Linked DNA regions of Macaca fascicularis. The protein of the gene in region 2 binds, or shares a complex with, the protein of the main gene of each other region. Links are inferred from orthologs where the notes say so. Each region holds a gene or a part of one and is shown on either strand. Other genes may lie near its edges.

Region 1 (10,469 bases), on a different chromosome or scaffold from region 2:
GAGTATTAAAGTCATTAGAAACTAAGGCAAACCAGCAATAAAGAATGCCTAGCAATAGATACTTAATGAGTTGGAAGGAGCTCTTCTAATTAAGAGATCTAATAACTGTCACTAGTTAATGGCCACAAAGTCAATAAAGTATACATTGAGGGGTACACTTTTCAGGAAAAACAGTGGTGGCTTCTAAAATAAGCTGTTAAACCAAAAGGATTTAAGTTTTTAGAAATCAGACAAATCTCTATTGTCACATTATAGACTCTTTGTTAAACACCTCGGCTAGCTTTCATATTGTTTTAAGTAAACTCCACGGAAAAGCAAACACAATACTTGGAAGAATCTGTTAAAGAATGCTTTATTAATACAAATACGCACAAACTCTGAAGCACTAAGAAATTTAAATATCTATGTCACAGCAAACAGGTGGCAATTCAACATCCAGGGTCGACAGAATGCTTGAAGGAGACTGCAACAGATCTAGAAAACAGGAATCTCTTATTAAATTTCTGCAAATCGTTGAGTCATTGTCCATATCAACATAGATATCAGCTGTCAAAAACTCATGTTTTTCCCTTTGTCTGATCAATCACCTCCATCCCCTCCTGACACACACTTTTTGGAATATGTCTGTGGCCCCAGAATTGACTTTCATTAGGAAGTAAGTCTTATAAGTATCTGAATCTCTTAGAGACCAAAGTAAGAGCTAACAGTCTCACTCATGTAACTTATTAGCACAAATTATCCCACATCAGAACAAACAGAAAACATAATGATGGCTTTGACTACCCGTTCAAACAAAGACCTCAAACCTTCTGCAGTAAGAAATTATTGTCAGTCTATGCCACAGCACAGGTGTTTGGATCTTATATTAGCTTTGGATATAACATGGAATCATCATTCCAAACAAGTTTATTATATATGCTTCAACTTACAGCCTAAGAAGATGTGAGAATTAATCTTTTAATTAAGACTACCCAGTTTCCAGAATAACAATTTTACTGGGGCATTTGGGACCAAAAAGCAATACCAATTGAGAATAGTTTATTTTTCTGAAACCTTATCCTTGTCATTTGAAGGACAGAAATGACTCACAGGCTCACCTCCCGCACAACTTTGTTCCCACGGTAATGGAAGTGTTATGAAACAAATTGTTTGCAGCCCTTCTAGAAGGGCACTTGCTCACTTACTGGATTCCCATGGTGGAGAGGGCATCTTCACAGGTGAAGGGGGGCCCAGCTGAAACAGCTTTTCAAGCTCTCTCTCCTCGTCAAGGATCATGAGAGGCACTCCACTCAAGGGGAGGTGCGCAATCTGGTGCTCTTCAGGCAGGTCAAAACTCTCAAAGTCTGTTACAGAGAGAAAGTGTTTTTGTCAGAGCAGCAGTTCTCAGTGTGGGCTGTAGACTCCTTGTGGTCTGAGACACTTTCAGGGGGTCCATGAGGTCAAAACTATTTTCATGACAATATTCACACCTTTTCCCACTGGGTTGACATTTGTGATGATGGTACCAAGGCAATGGTGGATAAAGCTGCTGGTGCCTCAACACAAATCAAGGCAGTGACAGTAAACCATAGGAGCAGTCTCTATGTTCTGCATCTTTCTGCACTTGTAGTTTAAAAATGCCAGTTTCACTTAATGTCACTTCACCATATGCAGTAGAATGTATTAATTTTATTAGCTCTCCATCCTTGAGAAGATGTCTTTTTAATGTTCTATGTGATAAAATGAGAAGTATGCCATAAAGCACTTCCACTGCACACCAAAATACGATTATCTCAAAGCAAAAGGATTTGTGCAATTGTCTGAGTTGCAAGCTAAAACTAGAGAACTTTTTCCTGGAATACTGTTTTTACTTGAATTAACAACTGCAAGAAATCCCATGGTCACTCAGACCTGGATGCCTGTCACACTTTTTCTCAAAGGCATGAAAGAAGTCCATCACCTCAAGGAAAACTGACAGGCTTTGTTACCAACGGCAGAATATAAAATGTCAAAATTTTGTCAAAAACCAAAAAATGAATTTTTTTTTTTTTGAGACACAGTCTCACTCTTTCACCCAGGCTGCAGTGCAGTGGCACAATCTCTGTTCACTGCAACCTCTGCCTCCCGGGTTCAAGCAATTCTCCTGCCTCAGTCTCCCAAGTAGCTGGGATTACAGGCGCGCCCACCACGCCCGGATAATTTTTGTATTTTTAGTAGAGACGGGGTTTCACCATGTTGGCCAGGCTGGTCTTGAACTCCTGACCTCAGGGGATCTGCCAGCCTTGCCTCCCAAAGTGCTGGGATTACAGGCATGAGCCACTGTGTCTGGCCAAAAGAAGGAATTTTGGAACACTTAACTGCAGTCATTAGCTTGACAGGTGCCTTAGACTTTTCTGATGAGATCAGTTGTGATATTAATGTGCTTTTGATATTATATAATCTCAACATATGAGTATCTACATATCTCAGTGAATCAATATTTCTGAATGCTCAATGCAAGATAGATGCAAGAATAAAAGATACACTCCAAGTGCAAAACAGACCGATGGATTTTACTGTCAAGATACAAAATGCTCATTGATATGCTTTCAGATTCCACATTGCAATTATATATTCAGAAACAGCCACTTGTGGGTTTTAGTGTAGTGGCAAAGAAAACTATCCACGCTTATCTGAAAAGACTATTAAAAACATATCTGTGTGAGGTCAGGTTTTCTTCATATATTTTTCAAAAATAGAAACCATGCCATTCTTCTCAAAACTTTTCCAAAACAAATATTTTATGTTAAAAAAAATTTACATTAATGTAATGTGATTACTTAGTGAATATCTTAAGTTTTTCAGTTTTAATTTCTAAATCTTTGTCCTTAGGTATGAAAGTTCTCTAAAGCCTAAGTACTCAAGAATTAGTCTGCTCTTTTTCAAGCCTGGTAAAACCCAGAAGTCAAGAAAGAATTGAATGATATGTGACTATTTAGCTTAAAACTACTGAATTGTAAAGGAAATCATAAACAGACAAAAGACTCCAGAGGAAAGAAGTCTGCAATCTAAGGGGAGCTAATTTTATCTACAAAGAGCTCTTTAATCAAAGAAAAACACAAACAGGAAGTTAATAAAAGAAAAACTAAGTGGCCAATAATCAAATATGCTCACCACACAAATTTAAAACAATAAAATATTTCTTTTCTGATAAAGATTAGAGTTTTAAAACATTGATAGTGAACATGGAGGAAGCAGCCATCTTCATCCACTGTAGATGGATTTAACAATTTACACTATTTTGAAGGGCCACTTAGCAATATCTCTTTCCTCTAACACAGGATACTGTGGTCTTCATTCTTGATCAATATGCATAAATCTACCTCATTTTTCCCAATGGCTGAATGATAATTATTAGCACGATGCACCACATTTTATAATTTTAAAACTTAATCACACAAACCCTCGAACCCAGCAATCCTTCTCAGTTTCCCTCCTGATGTACTCACAAACTTGCAACGAGATCATTTCAAGAATACTAATCGTAGAAATGTTTCTAGTTTCTAAAAGCCAGAACAATCTGAATGCAAATTAGTAAAAGAATAACTACATGACCTCTTTGGCTAAATAAAAGGGTAAAAGATCCAGCTCAGAAATCTGTAAGGCCCTCCCTGATCTGCCCCCACACCTCACCTGTATCCTCCTTCACCGTGCCTGTATTTTTCCTAGAACCACTTCAGTCCCTTTTCCTACCTCAGGATCTTTGCACCACTTTGACCTACAATGCTCTTTTTTCCGGCTCACACTCACAGTGAGATGGCTTGTCCAGCATCTGACTTTCCCTTCAAATTGTGGGCTCCCATAGGCAGGGCCCATCTTGTTAAACAGTGTGTCCAGCACCTAGCGATGCCTGACACACAGTGGCTTCTCCTCAAATGGCTGAGTAAATTAAAGCTTGAAAAGCTGTTTCCAAAACAGAAAATACTTCAGATACATGTAGCAGGTTGAAGAAATTTGAAAAACACGTCTTCACTGTCTTATGTAGATTTTTCTAACCAAAGAAATAATCCTACCAAAGCACTCTCAGGCATTGACATAAAGCTCACTTTCTAAAAGGCTTGTGAGAAAGACTGTCCACAATGGGACTTATTCAATATTCATGAATACATCTTACCTCCTCTAGGTGATAAGCTTTTACAGACAGGAACAATGTCTTCTGTATCTTTGTTCCTATTCCCCTCCTGATCTAAGATGATACCTTGCAAATAATTCCATCAACAAGTACATTTGTCCAAAACGACCCAGATTCAGACAGTCTCATTATAGTTTTTGGTCATATATTATATTCATATCAAGTTACAGCTGAGCTGAATACTAAGAAACTAAAGGCCAAAAGCACTTTTTGCAATTACAAAAGATACTACCTAGAGGATTGAAGGGAAAGAATTTTTCTATTTCTGGATAGGCATCGTCTGAGGCAGGAACAGAACTTTTTGTTTTAACAGTCTTCTCAGTCATCTAGAACAGCCAAAGAAAATATGGGTTAGTGAGAGTGGATGTCTTATTAGCTGATTAGTTTTTAAATTTGTCAATTTCATGCTGCCTTCTAAGAAGCCATAATCCTTAGTTTTCATAATTACACCTAAATATACTTCAAATAATATGATTCAAATGTAATTCGAGTAGCATGACTCAAAAGTTAAAATCTGAAATGTAAGTACCAGCACCTGTCAGCGTAAGTTATCAAGAATGCAGAGTTAATTCAGAGCTAATCAACGCAATTATTCAACCTAACAGAGGAGAAAACGGGCATGAATCACCCAGGATAGTAGCTAATCATCAAAGCCATTTTTGGCTTATAGGAGTGTGATTTTTCTGCAAGTGTTACCTAATTATGTACTTGGTTAATATTAAAAACAAGTTTGTGTTCCTCAAATACACTGAGTAAGAGGCAGCAAGACACTGTCAAGGACTTTAGAAAAACGCCATGGGCAATCTCCTAGTCTGGAGTTGACGGGTCTACTACAGTCTACTACAGAAGGGTGCTACAATGGAAGCCGGCATATTCCTGATTTATCTCACCTCACATAAGCATGCCTAGAACTCCCTATGGGGTTCCCACACTTCGGTTCTGTGTCTCATTGTTTTTGCCATATCTTTGCAATTCCTGTATTTAATATTTTTAAGTTAATTCACTTTTTTAAAAAGACATCCTTGTCCTAAGTTGCACTACATGTAATTCACCAGTTGTTTCCTAATGCAAATTAAACAAAACAGTTATTCAAATAAAGTGTTAATCCTCATGCTAACGTCATCTTTCACAGCAAAGTGCTCTCAGTCTGGGATACACAGACCTGTAGCTTGTGACCCACACTCACACAAACATCAACATGCTAGCAAATTGTCACCTAACAAGCTGCTGCTTGCCCTGGAAGGCTAGGCGGAGAATGGCAACACCTGTGCTATTATAGCAGCAACAGAACCTCTTAAGGCACCCTCTCGCTCAGTACGTATCTGTAAGTAGATACCACCAACCAGTTTTAAGACACTAGTTAAGGACAGGTGAGGGACAAATATGCATTAGCTGCATCTGAGATTTCCAATCTCAAGGCACCAAGAGGTCCACAAGGACAATCTGAGTTTCCTCCACTACTCTGCTTGCTAACCTCTATCTCCCTTCTACTCAGAGGGAAGAAAGCTGGGTAGGATGATGCCAATCGTCATTTTAAGAGTCAAAAGCGCTTAAGTGTTTAAACAGTGTCTTTATAGCCAACACTTACCTTTTTGGCAGAAAAGTTTGGCTGTTTTTGTTTGAGGGGTCCCTTGGTCTTTACAGACTTTTCTGTAGCTCTGTTGACGGTTCCCAAAGCCTTTCTTGTAGCTTTAGGTAAGGCTGGTGGAGCATCGAACGTTTTGCCAAAACGTGGTGTTGAAACTTGAGATCTCCCATCTAAGGCTTTGATTGCTGAAGAAAAAGTCTTACTATAAGAATATTCCAGCAGCAAAATACCTGTACAACTTGAATACTGTGTATGTAAACTTGACCTAACTCTCACCCCCAAACCCACCCCCCATTATTGGTAGTGGTATGGCTACGATAGGCCTAATAGCTGAGATTCAGTACTCCCATAAATCATCTCATTAAGATACTGAAAATGAAAAAGGACCAATAACAGACTTGACTCCATTTGCCCAAAAAGTACACTAAATGTCTCGTCCAGCTCCAGGCCACGTACACAATAGCAGTGTATCCGACTGCAGCCTTGTGTACTTACAAGGTCCAGACCCCAACTTCAGCCCATCCTTAGCAGCCACACGGGTGCCTGGTTCTCCATTTTCCTTATCAACATAGATTAGAGTAGCCATTCTGGATTATTCTAAAAATGAGAAATACATATTAGATACTGGGGAAGGTGGGAGAAGCAAAGGTATAGCAACATACCAAAGTTTTTATCCTAGGGATGTCCACACAAAAACAAGAGCTAAACAGCGGGACAGTCACGGGCGTGAGCCAACAAGTACTTAATCCAGCTCTCAAATCTTCCAGCCTGAGTCAGAGGCTCTAAGGTCCCAAGGAGCAGGCGGTTTGGGGCTGGCACTCTTCAGAGAATTGCCGTGGGTCCAGTTCGCAGTCCGAGACCGCGCTCAAACAGGCTCGGAGCCATCTACGCCCCAGGCAGTCCCCCAACCCCAGCCCCAGCCCCAGCTTCAGCCCCAGCCCAGCCCCAGCCCGCCTCCTTCCCCACCCGACCACGCTCACCTAAACAGCCGCAACCCTCCAGTTCACTCACGCAGCTTCCAACAGCTACATTCGTCTAAGGCGGCGGTGAACGGACGCGGCGCACTCCCGGTTTAAACCACAACTCGCGGCCCAATTGGCTCTTCCGCTCAAGAGGCGGGGTCGGGGGCGTGGTCACCAAGCCGAACCAATGGAAGGGACCTAAGCAGCCAGGACTCCGCCCCAAAAGCTCTTTCTTGCAAACTTTGTGGCACGTTTTCTGGGGAAAAAAATCTAGGGTCGTGTAATATTTTAAAAAAAAATTGAGAGGCTTTTTTTTTGCTCTCCATATTATTAAGCTGCATGGACTGTGGTACTGACTCAATAACAATGTTTTATTGCTTTAAGATATATTTATTTAAATGGCACCGTAGAAAGGATGGAAAATAAATAGAAATATTGTAGAAATGGTCGAAACAACCAACGTTGGGTCTAAAGAATACTAGGAGAGAAAAATTTAAAATTAAGAAGAAATTTAAGTACAGATAGATCAAACAGCAGCGTTTGAGTCATTCTCTTATGCTTATGATTAAGAACGAACTAATCATTCCCTAATCTGAGGATTATCCTCAATACTTCAGGCTAAGATGCTGTTTCTGTTATACCATCACGAATCTGTTTTAGGAACAAAATTATGATTCTAATGAATACATAATTTAGTCTTCCCTTAAAATCCTATCATTTAATACTGATTTATTTTAAACCTCTAAGATCTCAATAATACACTAACCAAAGCTGTCTGGAAGAGCTTGGCCAGGGAGCAAGAGAACATCAGAGAGATAATAAAGATATAAAAAAGGAATTCCAGTTTCCCAGATATGAAAAGAAATTTTGCTTGAAAAAGTTGACGACCTTTTCCTGTTTCTATAGTAAAATGGAATACACTGAACAACCACAAGATAAAGGTATACATTCAAAAGATAGGGCTGACCTGTGTCATTCAAACTCGGCTTCCCACAGGTCACCATATATACATTTTATACCTGCAGATCAGCTGAGAGAGAGGAGTTGATTCCATATTACTCTTTCACAAAAGGCTTAACACTATACCTGACATAGACATGGTTCTCAATATATGCCAGTTCATCATCTCTTCTTCCCTGGCATTTCAGGACCAATATTGATTGAATGATTCATTCATTCACAAATATTTATTGAATACCTATTAAATGGTGGACTTTATACTAGGTATCAAGAAGAAAAGAGCCTAACTTAAGGTGAAGAAAAGAGGAAAGACATAAAAATATGCATACCTTTATTGTCCCTTCACTGCTCTCTTTCCTTTATTCCCACCCCTTATTTCCTCCTGTATCTCCTAAATTTTACATCATCATATTATATTATCAGCACTCAAAGTGTTAATTTTTGAGACTAAATCTTTACAACACCTATAGCTTCGAAGTGGGGATTCTCTATCTACAGAAGTTTTGGGGTGCAAGGTTTATCTCCTTAGGATGTCTTCTTTGTTTCACCAACAGAAAGCATTGTTTCTCCCAAGGCCATGCATCAGCTGTAAACCATAACCACCCTCTCTTTGAATAACCACTGTTTTCTTACTAATGATGCCCTCAGACCAGCTTTGCTATTACTATTACTGAAAATACTCAATTGCTAAACCACCCTCACTCATAACAGCACTTAGTCCCTAATCAGTTTCTCCTAATCCTGCTTTACAAACAGCAACCCATCCAGAACCAATCCCGGCTTTCCTAGACCTTCCTCAGAATCCTCCAGAGGGACCTCAAGTCTTAGAAAAGATTCAACTCTCTTGTCCTGGGCTTTCTGATTCTTCTTCGAGATGTGCTCTCCTGGTGGTTTTGGCTAATTAGACCTTAACACTCCTAAGCAAATTTCAGGAATGTTTTTAAGTGGAAAAAAACAAAGCCTGAGTGATTTATAGACTCTACTCACTTTCACGCCAGTCTCTGTTTCTTCATCTACTGCCCTGTAAAAGCAGAATTAATATTTATGCTCCTAAACTCCAGGTATTGCAAATTGTTAATACGAAAAAAATAGATTCTATTATGTTGGGCTATTTTATTGAGGCAGGAATGGTAGCTATTTTAACTTTTACATTCAAAAACGATACACGTTATGGGGGGGGAGGGGGAGAACAACCAGAATAGAAAGCACAAAGAAAAAAAAATCACAAGAAATTCTACTACGAAAATTAGTTTATTTTCCAGTATTTTATTTCACATGTATACTTTTAAAGAAGGGATGGGATAGCATAGATACTAATGTTTCTCCAAAATGGAAATCGTCGTGTTTTTTCCTAATGATAACGTGCCTTATGTTCTTACAGCACCCGGTATTCCTTTCATAGCAACTTTTACAACTGCTAAATTACCTGAATAGTTGTTTCGGTGTCTTTCGCACTCTGATGTAAATTTGAGGGAAGACACTGTGTTCACCAGATCCCCAGCATGTTACACAGCCTGGCTACTAGTTACTGCCAAGTTTAACTGCCTTTTTTTTTTTTTTTAAGCTGATACATCACCAAATTCTGCATTCATTTCACAGCCCCCTGGTGAGGCTTAAGCTCTTGTCTGTTTTGGTTTTTTTTTTTTTAACTTCCTAAAATTCTCCGATTCTAAAAGAAAGTTCCTAAATAGAAGCTAAAAGAACCCGCCCAACTTGAATCTCTCCACAAGCCGGGTAAATAGCGCGATAAGCACAGCTAGAGTTCTCGCGATTCCCACGGCGCAAGAGGACCAAAGGCCTCCACTCCTCCCGCGTCCCACCAGGAAATTAGTGCGCATGTGCCGATCGTCCGGAAGTTACCGCAGTGGCCGCCGGAATGAGGCGAAAAGCCGGAAGTAAACATTACGAGATTGGCTTGTCTCGGATGGACTTGAGACCAGCTGCGGCGGGACTGGGTAAGAAAATATTTTTAGAACTTTCGGGCGAAGGGGAATTGGGGAACCTGAGAAAATGGGTCGAAGGCTCCTAATTATTGGATATGTCCTCACGGGGGTAATGAGCCCTCAGTTGTTGAGGAGGGAGCGAGGACGGCGGACCGAAAAGGAAGCCACTGTCCTGAGCCCCATTGATGGCACTCGTGCCCAGCCAGACCAGGCCTGCGTCTTCAGGGAAACAGTCGGGATAACTATGAGAGTGTCACCTTTGTGGCGGTGGCCTTGAAGACCCTGAGCGATCCCCGGACTGCGAGCGGGGAAAGCTGCTTCCAGTACCCAATTTGATAGACTGTATTTCCTCGCCAGAAAAATTTACTTAAGCTTCAGTTTTTCCTGTTAAGTCGAGATGATCTGACTTCAGTGGGGTATCATGCGGATATAAGTGAAAACATCTATATAAGTAAATCTCTAAACACTGTCTTACGGTAAGCCCTCAGTAAGTGAGAGCTATTACTGTTTTTAGTTGAAGAAAATAGGCCCCTTCACAGCGACGGAAACGAGTGAGTACAACTTGGTGACTATATTACTTCATTCAGTTTTAGTTTTTAATATTTCAGGCCCAGAAGCCAATGTTCTATGGACAGAGTATAACATACTGTTTTTAGAGAACTGACTCTGGAGTCAGACTTGTGTTTGAAGTCCTTGTTTCTTACTACAATATGCTCTTGGCTGAGGATCTTACCTCTCAGAACCTGTTTCTTCCCTGTAAAATGGGGTTCATCAGACCTATCTACTGGGCTTATTGTGAAGATTAGATGAGGTGATGCACGGTAGGCTCAAGAAATGGTAGCTGTTTTAATGAAGATTATTAAATT
Region 2 (9,702 bases):
TGCTTTCCTTGTCACCGAGTCTGTCTCCATCACCTGTCGCCACCAGCTGCTCACCCACCTCCACAGACAACTCAGGTGGGTGCCCACCATCCCCGAGACTCCTGCTGGGGCAGACTGGAGGGAGGGTCCAGACTTTGAAGGAAGGGGACCTCACCCCTCCCTGTGTTGCTTGCAGCAAGGCCCAGAAGTACCGAGGATCACTTGAAATAGCAGACCAGCTGCAGGGGCTAAGCCTTCAGGAGACGCCTGGAGATGTCCCCCTGGCCCGCATCCAGCGCCTCTTTTCCTTCAGGGCTTTGGGATCTGGCCATTTCCCCCAGCCTGAAAAGGAGAGTTTCCAGGAGCGCCTGGCTCTGATCCCCAGTGGTATGCGGGCAGGCTTCTGGCCGGCTCCTCTGTCCTCTTCTGCATCTTCTTACTGAGGAGCTGGGTGAAGGAGTTTTAGGCATTGGTTAGTTTACATAGATTTATGACCCTTATGTCATACCTTTTCACCTGTTAGCATCTTAAATCAGGAAGGTTTGTTGTTTTTTTAAACCTCAACTTTGAATTACCAGCAAATTCAGTGTCTTTCCTCAGAGGTGAGTTCAGATGCCTGGGGTCTTCTGTACTAACGTGAAACATACACATGATTTGAGCACCTCACTTTGTTAGTTCCTGTGAGAAACACAAAGTACAGGACATAGTCTCTGTGCACAGGGAGCTATTAGGCAAGGGAGAGCACTTTGACCTCCAGTGACCAAGGAAGCTTTCTTGATGCTGTCTTGAGTGATGGACAGTGATTGAGTGCCCAAGACAGAGAAGGGAATTCTTTCAACAGCTGAATGATTCTGGCTGTATCCTGTTTGTCAGGGGTGACCGTGTGTGTGTTGGCCCTGGCCACCCTCCAGCCCGGAACCGTGGGCAACACCCTCCTATTGACCCGGCTGGAAAAGGACAGTCCCCCAGTCAGTGTGCAGATTCCCACTGGCCAGAACAAGGTAGGATTCCTGGGCCATGGAGCGAAGTTGGGCTGGGTTGGACTTTGGGTCAAGCTGCTCACATTCTGTGTTGGGAGAGGGAGAGAGATGGTGATCACGTGGACAGGCAGAGCTCTCACAGCCCCATCTCCCAAAGCTTCCTCTGCGTTCAGTCCTGAATGAGTTTGATGCCATCCAGAAGGCACAGAAAGAGAACAGCAGCTGTACTGACAAGCGAGAATGGTGGACGGGGCGGCTGGCACTGGACCACAGGATGGAGGTGTGTGCTCCTGGGGTGGGGTCAGGCCTGCCCTAGGAACGACCCGGGGGGTCCCAGTGTCTTCTCTACCAGAGGGCCTGGGTCAGTGCTAAAGCCACTTCAAATCCTTTCTGGAAGTGTAGACCTAAATTTAAAAATATGTCACCGGCCGGGCGCGGTGGCTCAAGCCTGTAATCCCAGCACTTTGGGAGGCCGAGGCGGGTGGATCACGAGGTCAAGAGATCGAGACTATCCTGGCTAACATGGTGAAACCCCGTCTCTACTAAAAATACAAAAAACTAGCTGGGCGTGGTGGCGGGCGCCTGTAGTCCCAGCTACTTGGGAGGCTGAGGTGGGAGAATGGCATGAACCCGGGAGGCGGAGCTTGCAGTGAGCCCAGATCACGCCACTGCACTCCAGCCTGGGAGACACAGCGAGACTCCATCTCTCAAAAAAAAAAAATAAAAATAAAAAAATTAAAAAATTAAAAAAAATAAAAATATGTCACCTGGGGAGAACTTCAGAGCCCAGAACTTGAAGAATATATGGGAATGGATATTTAAAGATACGCAGAAAAAAAAAGGATTTAAACCCAACTATCAGCTTCCCAGTTTTAGCTTTCATTGCCCACCTGTTAATGTTTGTCACAACAGAGGGATAGATAATAGTCTATACTCTCCCAGGCTCAGAAAATGAAAAAAGTTTCTAGATTCTTGCCTTCTATGACTAACAGAAAGATACGTAAGACAGATATACACGTTGGAAAACGCACTTTCTCATCTCCAGAATGTCAGTGCCTATGAGAAAGAAGCTCAGTTTCCTCTCCAACTAAAGGGTCTGCCCTCTGCATTCAGGTTCTCATCGCTTCCCTAGAGAAGTCTGTGTTGGGCTGCTGGAAGGGGCTGCTGCTGCCGTCCAGTGAGGACCCCAGCCCTGCCCAGGAGGCCTCCCGCCTACAGGAGCTGCTACAGGAATGTGGCTGGAAATATCCTGACCCCACTCTGCTGAAAGTGAGTGAGGAAAGCAGGGAAGGGGGCCAGGCCCAGTGACTTGCACCTGTAATCCCAGCACTTTGGGAGGCCAAGGCAGGTGGATTGCTTGAGCTCAGGAGCTTGAGACCAGCCTGGCCAACATGGTGAAACCCTGTCTCTACGAAAATACAAAAATTCGCTGGGCGTGGTGGCCGGCACCTGTAATTCCAGCTACTCAGGAGGCTGTAGCAGAAGAATTGCTTGAACCTGGGAGGCAGAGGTTGCAGTGAGCCGAGATCGCTACACTCCAGCCTGGGTGACAGAGCGAGACTCCATCTACAAAAAGGACAGGCGCTGTGGCTTAGGCCTGTAATCCCAGCACTTTGGGAGGCCGAGGCGGGTGGATCTTGAGGTCAAGAGGTGGAGACCATCCTGGCCAACAGGGTGAAACCCCATCTCTACTAAAAATACAAAACTTAGCTGGGCTTGGTGGCACGTGCCTGTAGTCTCAACTACTCGGGAGGCTGAGGCAAGAGAATCACTTGAACCCGGGAGGTGAAGGTTGCAGTGAGCTGAGATTGCGCCACTGCACTCCAGCCTGGGCGACAGAGCAAGACTTTGTCTCAAAAAAAAATAAAGCAGGGAAGGGGAAGAAACTGGACTTAATCCTTTCCCAGCAGCCATCATGAATGAAGATGGTGCTCACCACCACTGTTCCCCTGCAGATCATGCTCAGTGGTGCCAGTGCCCTCACCCCTCAGGACGTTCAGGCCCTGGCCTACGGGCTGTGCCCAACCCAGCCAGAGCGAGCCCAGGAGCTCCTGAATGAGGCAGTAGGACATCTACAGGGCCTGACAGTACCAAGCAATAGCCACCTTGTCTTGGTCCTAGACAAGGTAAGGAGCTGGGGCAGAGGGGCAGTGTCTAGTGGGGAGTAAGTACCAACTCATCCCCATGCCCCTTCTGACTTCTGCATATACCTGGCTGGGGACAGTAACCTCTTAGTGCTTTTTGCCCAGGACTTGCAGAAGCTGCCGTGGGAAAGCATGCCCAGCCTCCAGACACTGCCTGTCACCCGGCTGCCCTCCTTCCGCTTCCTACTCAGCTACTCCATCATCAAAGAGGTGAGGTTCAGGGAGTGGTGTCTGGGGATGACTGGCAATTGGGGAAGACCTCAACAAAAGGGCAGAGAAACCTGGGAAGAGAGGAGAGGGTTCTAGGAATGGCTCAGACATGGAAAGGGGCTTGGGCCTCTTGGTGAGACAAGCATCCTAATCACCAGTGTCTCCTCCTCAGTATGGGGCCTCGCCAGTGCTGAGTCAAGGGGTGGATCCGCGAAGTACCTTCTATGTCCTGAACCCTCACAATAACCTGTCAAGCACAGAGGAGCAATTTCGAGCCAATTTCAGCAGGTCAGGGGCACAAAGACAAGAAGAGGAGTGGGGAAGGGTAGACAACATACAGGGGCAGCAAGCCTTTTCTCCAGAAACAGCTGTTGCAGCCCACCTTCTATTTAATGATCCCTCTGCCGTCTTTGCCATCTGACCCCTGCCATGCATTTCCCTATTCTCACTCCCGCCTTTTCCCTGCAGTGAAGCTGGCTGGCGAGGAGTGGTTGGGGAGGTGCCGAGACCCGAACAGGTGCAGGAAGCCCTGACAAAGCATGATTTGTATATGTGAGTGCTTAAGGCAGGGATGTGGGGAGAGGGCAGTCCTGAGGATGGTATCACCATGGGTCGCTTTGGGACTTGAGAGCCTCTGGAGACAAAGGCAGAGGCCAGGTACTGCTAGCTCAAGACTCATCTCACCTCCTTCTGCCTTAGCTATGCAGGGCATGGGGCTGGTGCCCGCTTCCTTGACGGGCAGGCTGTCCTGCGGCTGAGCTGCCGGGCAGTGGCCCTGCTGTTTGGCTGTAGCAGTGCGGCCCTGGCTGTGCATGGAAACCTGGAGGGGGCTGGCATCGTGCTCAAGTACATCATGGCTGGTTGGTGAGTCTCCAAGGGCAAGACCCATCCTAGGGCACTAAGACTCCTGCCCTCACCCCAGGTTCTTTCCCAGGTCTGAATCCTGCCTCTCTTGTGCCCCATTTTCCTCCTATCTCTAGTTCCCTGGCATGCCTGGACCATTTAACCCTTAGCTCCCGTCTATTCTTCTCTTGTAACCAAGGGCCAAAGGAATTTCTCATTGGTTCAGTCCTCTCTACTCACCCACCCCACCACCAATGGTGTTTTCCTATGTATTCTGTTTTAGAGCCCTTACTTTGTATTTCTTTTCTTTTCCCAGCCCCTTGTTTCTGGGTAATCTCTGGGATGTGACTGATCGTGATATTGACCGCTACACGGAAGCTCTGCTGCAGGGCTGGCTTGGAGCAGGCCCGGGGGCCCCCCTTTTGTACTATGTAAACCAGGCCCGCCAGGCTCCCCGACTCAAGTATCTTATTGGGGCTGCACCTATAGCCTATGGCTTGCCTGTCTCTCTGCGGTAACCCCATGGAGTTGTCTTATTGATGCTAGAAGCCTCATACCTGTTCTACCTCCAAGGTTAGATTTAATCCTTAGGATAACTCTTTTAAAGTGACTTTCCCCAGTGTTTTATATGAAACATTTCCTTTTGATTTAACTTCAATATAATAAAGATACATCACTTAAACCTTGTTTTGTGTAGTTTATCTGAGAACATTTAAAGACATGTCATGACTGCCCCCCTTCCTGCTATGTGGTACTGTAAGCTGACAGGAACAGCTTATAGGAGATCAAGTTTGAGTGCCTAGGTAAGAAAGACAAAGACACAGGACAAAGCCTGCTGGGCCTGGCTGGACCTCAGCAGACAAATCTGGAGGAGAAAGGGGCATCAAAATTCTAAGTAGAGACAGGCCCAATGAAGGGTAGTAATAGACCCGTTGAGTGTTTTGGCCAGGTACCATCCGTCCATCCTTTCTTCCTGCCTCAGGTATCCTTGGAGTGGCACTAGTGTTTTTTTTTGTTTGTTTGTTTTGAGACAGTCTTGCTCTGTTGCCCAGGCTGGAGTGTAGTGGCACAATCTTGGCTCACTGCAACCTCTGCGTGCCGGGTTCAAGCGATTCTCCTGCTTCAGCCTCCCGAGTAGCTGGGACTACAGGCACATGCCACCATGTCCCACTAATTTTTGTATTTTTAGTAGAGGCAGGGTTTCACCATATTGGCCAGGCTGGTCTCAAACTCCTGACCTTGTGATCCGCCCTTCTCAGCCTTCCAAAAGTGCTGGGATTACAGGCGTGAGTCACCGTGCCCAGCCATGGCACTAGTTTTAATGCCTCAGTTGCCCTGCCTCCCTCCTAAGTAGATGTTAAAGGCTACTGCTGTCTGCCCATGTACACATGTTACACTTACCAATGCGTAACTTTAGCAGTAGAGTCTGTGGATCTGTGGAGTTCTAGTGTGGTTTTTCTCTCCAGTTGTTAAGCTCAAGGGAAGCAAATGTCTTACTCTCACGTATTCCTCACATATAGCACATGGTAAAACTTTTTTTTTTTTTTTTTGAGACAGTCTGGCTCTGTTGCCCAGGCTGGAGTGCAGTGGCGCATCTCAGCTCACTGCAAGCTCCGCCTCCCGGGTTCACGCCATTCTGCCTCAGCCTCCCCAGTAGCTGGGACTACAGGCGCTCGCCACCATGCCTAGCTAATTTTTTGTATTTTTATTAGAGATGGGGTTTCACCATGTTAGCCAGGATGGTCTCGATCTCCTGACCTCGTGATCTGCCTGCCTCGGCCTCCCAAAGTGCTGGGATTACAGGCGTGAGCCACTGTGCCAGGTTTTTTTTTTTTTTTTTAGAGACAGAGTCTAGCTCTGTTGCTAGAGTGCACAATCACAGCCTACTACAGCCTCCAACTCTCCAGCTCAAGCAATCCTCCCACCTCAGCCTCCCGTGTAGCTAGGACTACAGGCATATGCCACCAGCCCGGCTAATTTTTGTATTTTTTGTTGAGACGGGGTGTCGCCATGTTGCCCAGGCTGGCCTCAAACTCCTGGGCTCAAGTGATCTGCCCTTCTCGGCCTCCCAAAGTGCTGGGATTGCAGGAATGAGCCACCATGCCTGGCCAAAACATTTTATTGATTAATTTGTGCTCTATGTGTTGACAATGGTGCTTCCTTGCTGTTCTCCCACCAACTCACTGGCAACGGGTTATAAACCCTTTTTCAGATCCTACTAGGTGTCAGCCTACTTCCGGCTGGGGGAAGATGGTCATAGCTAGAGGGGAAGAATTAGTTCAGTGATGAGAACATGGTTGGTTCCTGCCTTCAACAAGCTTTCAATCTAATGCCTGATTTTTTTTTTTTTTTTTTTTTTTTTTGAGACGGAGTCATGCTCTGTCGCCCAGGCTGGAGTGCAGTGGCCGGATCTCAGCTCACTGCAAGCTCCGCCTCCCGGGTACACGCCATTCTCCTGCCTCAGCCTCCCAAGTAGCTGGGACTACAGGCGCCCGCCACTTCGCCCGGCTAGTTTTTTGTATTTTTTAGTAGAGACGGGGTTTCACCGTGTTAGCCAGGATGGTCTCGATCTCCTGACCTCATGATCCGCCCGTCTCGGCCTCCCAAAGTGCTGGGATTACAGGCTTGAGCCACCGCGCCCGGCCATGCCTGATTTTTTCAAGAACAATTCAGAACGGTCTGACAAGGGATTTTTTTGTTGTTGTTATTTGTTTTTTTTTCCCTGCCTTTCGGCCTCAGAGGCCATCTGGGAAAAATAGTTTAGAATTTCCCTGCCATGGCCGGGCGCGGTGGCTCAAGCCTGTAATCCCAGCACTTTGGGAGGCCGAGACGGGCGGATCACTAGGTCAGGAGATCGAGACCATCCTGGCGAACACGGTGAAACCCCGTCTCTACTAAAAAATACAAAAAACTAGCCGGGCGAGGCGGCGGGCGCCTGTAGTCCCAGCTACTCGGGAGGCTGAGGCAGGAGAATGGCGTAAACCCGGGGGGCGGAGCTTGCAGTGAGCTGAGATCCGGCCACTGCACTCCAGCCCGGGCGACAGAGCCAGACTCCGTCTCAAAAAAAAAAAAATAAAATAAAAAATAAAGAATTTCCCTGCCATTTCCCTGCTGTGCGGGGAGGAATATTTGAAATCGGACCTGGCGGGGTACCAGCAGGCAGCACAAGCAGGTGGGGTAGAGAGGGGCAGGACGAGGCCCCAGGAGCCGTCACCATAGCAACCCAGCCTGCTATCTAGTAGCTTATACCACCCACGTGGAGTAGCATACACTACTTTGTAATATCGTGGTTGTATCGTGAGAACTTTAAGATTTTGCAGTTCCCTATGGGCAGGAGTCCTGTTTGCTGCTACTTTACTGTACTAGGCTTAGAATATTTTATGAAAATAACTGACAGATCAGCCTCTGAGAAATTCAAGCCCCTCCTTCCCTTCCGGGACGGAGGATCATAGAGCTGTATGGCGCAGCGAGGCCTCCTGGCGCCATCGAGACGCGCAGAGGACGGCTAGAGCGTTGCTCGCCGAGGGACTTCCTCTTCGTTAGTCCTCCTTCCCAACATGGCGCAGTCTATTAACATCACGGAGCTGAATCTGCCGCAGCTAGAAATGCTCAAGAACCAGCTGGACCAGGTAGTGACGGGCCCCATAGGCACCTCTTTCCCGCTCTACATCCCCCTTGCCCACGCGTACTTCCTTGCGCCCGGTCCCAAGTTGGGAGCCTACCTTGCCCAGGCGAAACCTCTATCCGGTCCCAGGACCCGCCCCCTCCCCGGCCGCTCTCCCTTTTCCCCATAGCCCTCTCATTGACCCGCTATACCCGTCCTCTGTAGGAAGTGGAGTTCTTGTCCACGTCCATTGCCCAGCTCAAAGTGGTACAGACCAAGTATGTGGAAGCCAAGGACTGTCTGAACGTGCTGAACAAGAGCAACGAGGGTATGGGGTAGGGGGGTGAGGGCAACCTAAAGTGGCAAGCCTGCTTCTCTCGTCCCACCTCCTAATCCAGTTTTTCTTACCTGAAACGAGAAAATCCATTACATATCGTATACCGCTTCATGAACCCTTTGCATGTTGCCTACCTAGAATTGAAATGTACAAGACGTTCCTCTGCTTCTATTGCCCCTGTTTCCGTTCTTTTCACACTGTCTGTGGGTGCTGTGCCCTCTTGGAACTCTCTTTAACGTCTTACATTGGAGCCACTAACCTTCCCCAGGTGTTTGTCTTCATTGCTTTCACAGGGAAAGAATTACTTGTCCCACTGACGAGTTCTGTATCCTTTCCACAGGAACGGCTACCTGCTGCCTTCTCCCTTTCTCCCTCACTCCTCCAAAAAGCAGGGAGGGGGATTGTTTTGATTACTTCAGTACTTCAGATTATCCTCTCCCCACAATGATTTTGATAACACCCTTTTTTTTTTTTAAAGACGGAATCTTGCTCTGTCGCCCAGACTGGAGTGCAGTGGTGCGATCTCGGCTCACTGTAACCTCCGCCTCCTGGGTTCAAGAGATTCTTCTGCCTCAGTCTCCTGAGTAGCTGGGACCGCAGGCACGCGCCACCACGACTGGCTAATTTTTGTATTATTAGTAGAGATGGAGTTTCACCATATTGGCCAGGCTAGTCTCGAACTCCTGACCTCGTGATCTGCCTGCCTTGGCCTCCCAAAGTGCTAGGATTACAGGCGTGAGCCACTGCCCCCGACCAAGAGTACTCTTATTACACACTTTGTAGCTCTTTTATCTAACTTCACACCAACATCCAGCTAATGCCTTGTGAACACCAAGGAGTATGTATAGTTGAGATGTAATATTTCCCTTTGCTATTTGAGAACATTAATATGGAGATAAAGCTGGTGGTTTACACTTTGCTAATATCTTAGAAGATATAGGTAATAGACAAAAATAGGAGGATATAGGAACAGGGAGGTTGGCTCTGTTAATTGTGGCTCATTTCTAAACTGTCACTAAGAAACCTGGATTGTGTCCACTTGTTCAGTGTTTTACTTGAATGAACAAGTTATGGCAGTAGGGCACCTTTAATCTGTAGTCTGAGAACTGACAGGCTAAAAGGAGCACAGGAATAGTAGTGTAGTAGGGAATGGTTAAAAAAAAAATTAGGCCGGGCGCGGTGGCTCAAGCCTGTAATCCCAGCACTTTGGGAGGCCGAGATGGGCGGATCACGAGGTCAGGAGATCGAGACCATCCTGGCTAACACGGTGAAACCCCGTCTCTACTAAGAAATACAAAAAATAGCCGGGCGAGGTGGCAGCGCCTGTAGTCCCAGCTACTCGGGAGGCTGAGGCTGGAGAATGGCGTGAACCCGGGAGGCGGAGCTTGCAGTGAGCTGAGATCAGGCCACTGCACTCCAGCCTGGGCTACAGAGCGAGACTCCGTCTCAAAAAAAAAAAAAAAAAAAAAAAATTAGCCAGGCACGGTTGCTCACGCCTGTAATCCCCAGCACTTTGGGAGCCAAGGCTGGCAGATCACCTGAGGTCAGGAGTTCAAGATCAGTCTGGCCAACATGGTGAATCCCCGTCTCTACTAAATATACAAA

What was found. The genes of interacting proteins can lie anywhere in the genome.
Region 1: the proteins of ESPL1 (region 2) and PTTG1 are in contact, whole or in part, in a cryo-EM structure (PDB 7NJ1), measured with the Homo sapiens proteins. The link is inferred for Macaca fascicularis from reciprocal best matches to the Homo sapiens genes ESPL1 and PTTG1. Residues at the interface, in NP_036423.4 of Homo sapiens: His402, Thr405, Val406, Tyr409, Ser461, Asn462, Tyr465, Tyr468, Arg505, Arg508, Glu512, Glu544, Thr547, Phe548, Arg551, Gln590, Lys593, Ala594, Val595, Arg596, Thr599, Gly600, Arg603, Gln634, Cys637, Tyr638, Trp683, Ile686, Glu690, Ile697; in NP_001269311.1 of Homo sapiens: Tyr111, Pro112, Glu113, Ile114, Glu115, Lys116, Phe117, Phe118, Pro119, Phe120, Asn121, Pro122, Leu123, Phe125, Glu126, Ser127, Phe128, Asp129, Leu130, Pro131, Glu132, Glu133, His134, Gln135, Ile136, Ala137, His138, Leu139, Pro140, Leu141.

The regions. Positions count from the first base shown.
Region 1 is NC_088380.1:167,188,790-167,199,258, reverse strand, and holds PTTG1 (securin), read right to left. Parts: upstream 6,787-10,469; 5' UTR 6,750-6,786; exon of another isoform or gene 6,719-6,749; intron 6,336-6,718; 5' UTR 6,325-6,335; coding exon 6,234-6,324; intron 5,924-6,233; coding exon 5,739-5,923; intron 4,477-5,738; coding exon 4,383-4,476; intron 1,344-4,382; coding exon 1,185-1,343; intron 475-1,184; coding exon 395-474; 3' UTR 337-394; downstream 1-336. UniProt on the Homo sapiens protein: Regulatory protein, which plays a central role in chromosome stability, in the p53/TP53 pathway, and DNA repair. Probably acts by blocking the action of key proteins.
Region 2 is NC_088385.1:60,088,227-60,097,928, forward strand, and holds the end of ESPL1 (separin), read left to right. Parts: coding exon 1-75; intron 76-175; coding exon 176-366; coding exon of another isoform or gene 367-422; exon of another isoform or gene 423-451; intron 452-852; coding exon 853-980; exon of another isoform or gene 981-982; intron 983-1,116; coding exon 1,117-1,239; intron 1,240-2,072; coding exon 2,073-2,228; intron 2,229-2,914; coding exon 2,915-3,085; intron 3,086-3,208; coding exon 3,209-3,313; intron 3,314-3,485; coding exon 3,486-3,601; intron 3,602-3,781; coding exon 3,782-3,865; intron 3,866-4,012; coding exon 4,013-4,177; intron 4,178-4,472; coding exon 4,473-4,674; 3' UTR 4,675-4,838; downstream 4,839-9,702. Other genes in the region: PFDN5 (prefoldin subunit 5), read left to right, coding at 7,714-7,785, 7,986-8,088, 8,391-8,422. UniProt on the Homo sapiens protein: Caspase-like protease, which plays a central role in the chromosome segregation by cleaving the SCC1/RAD21 subunit of the cohesin complex at the onset of anaphase. During most of the cell cycle, it is inactivated by different mechanisms.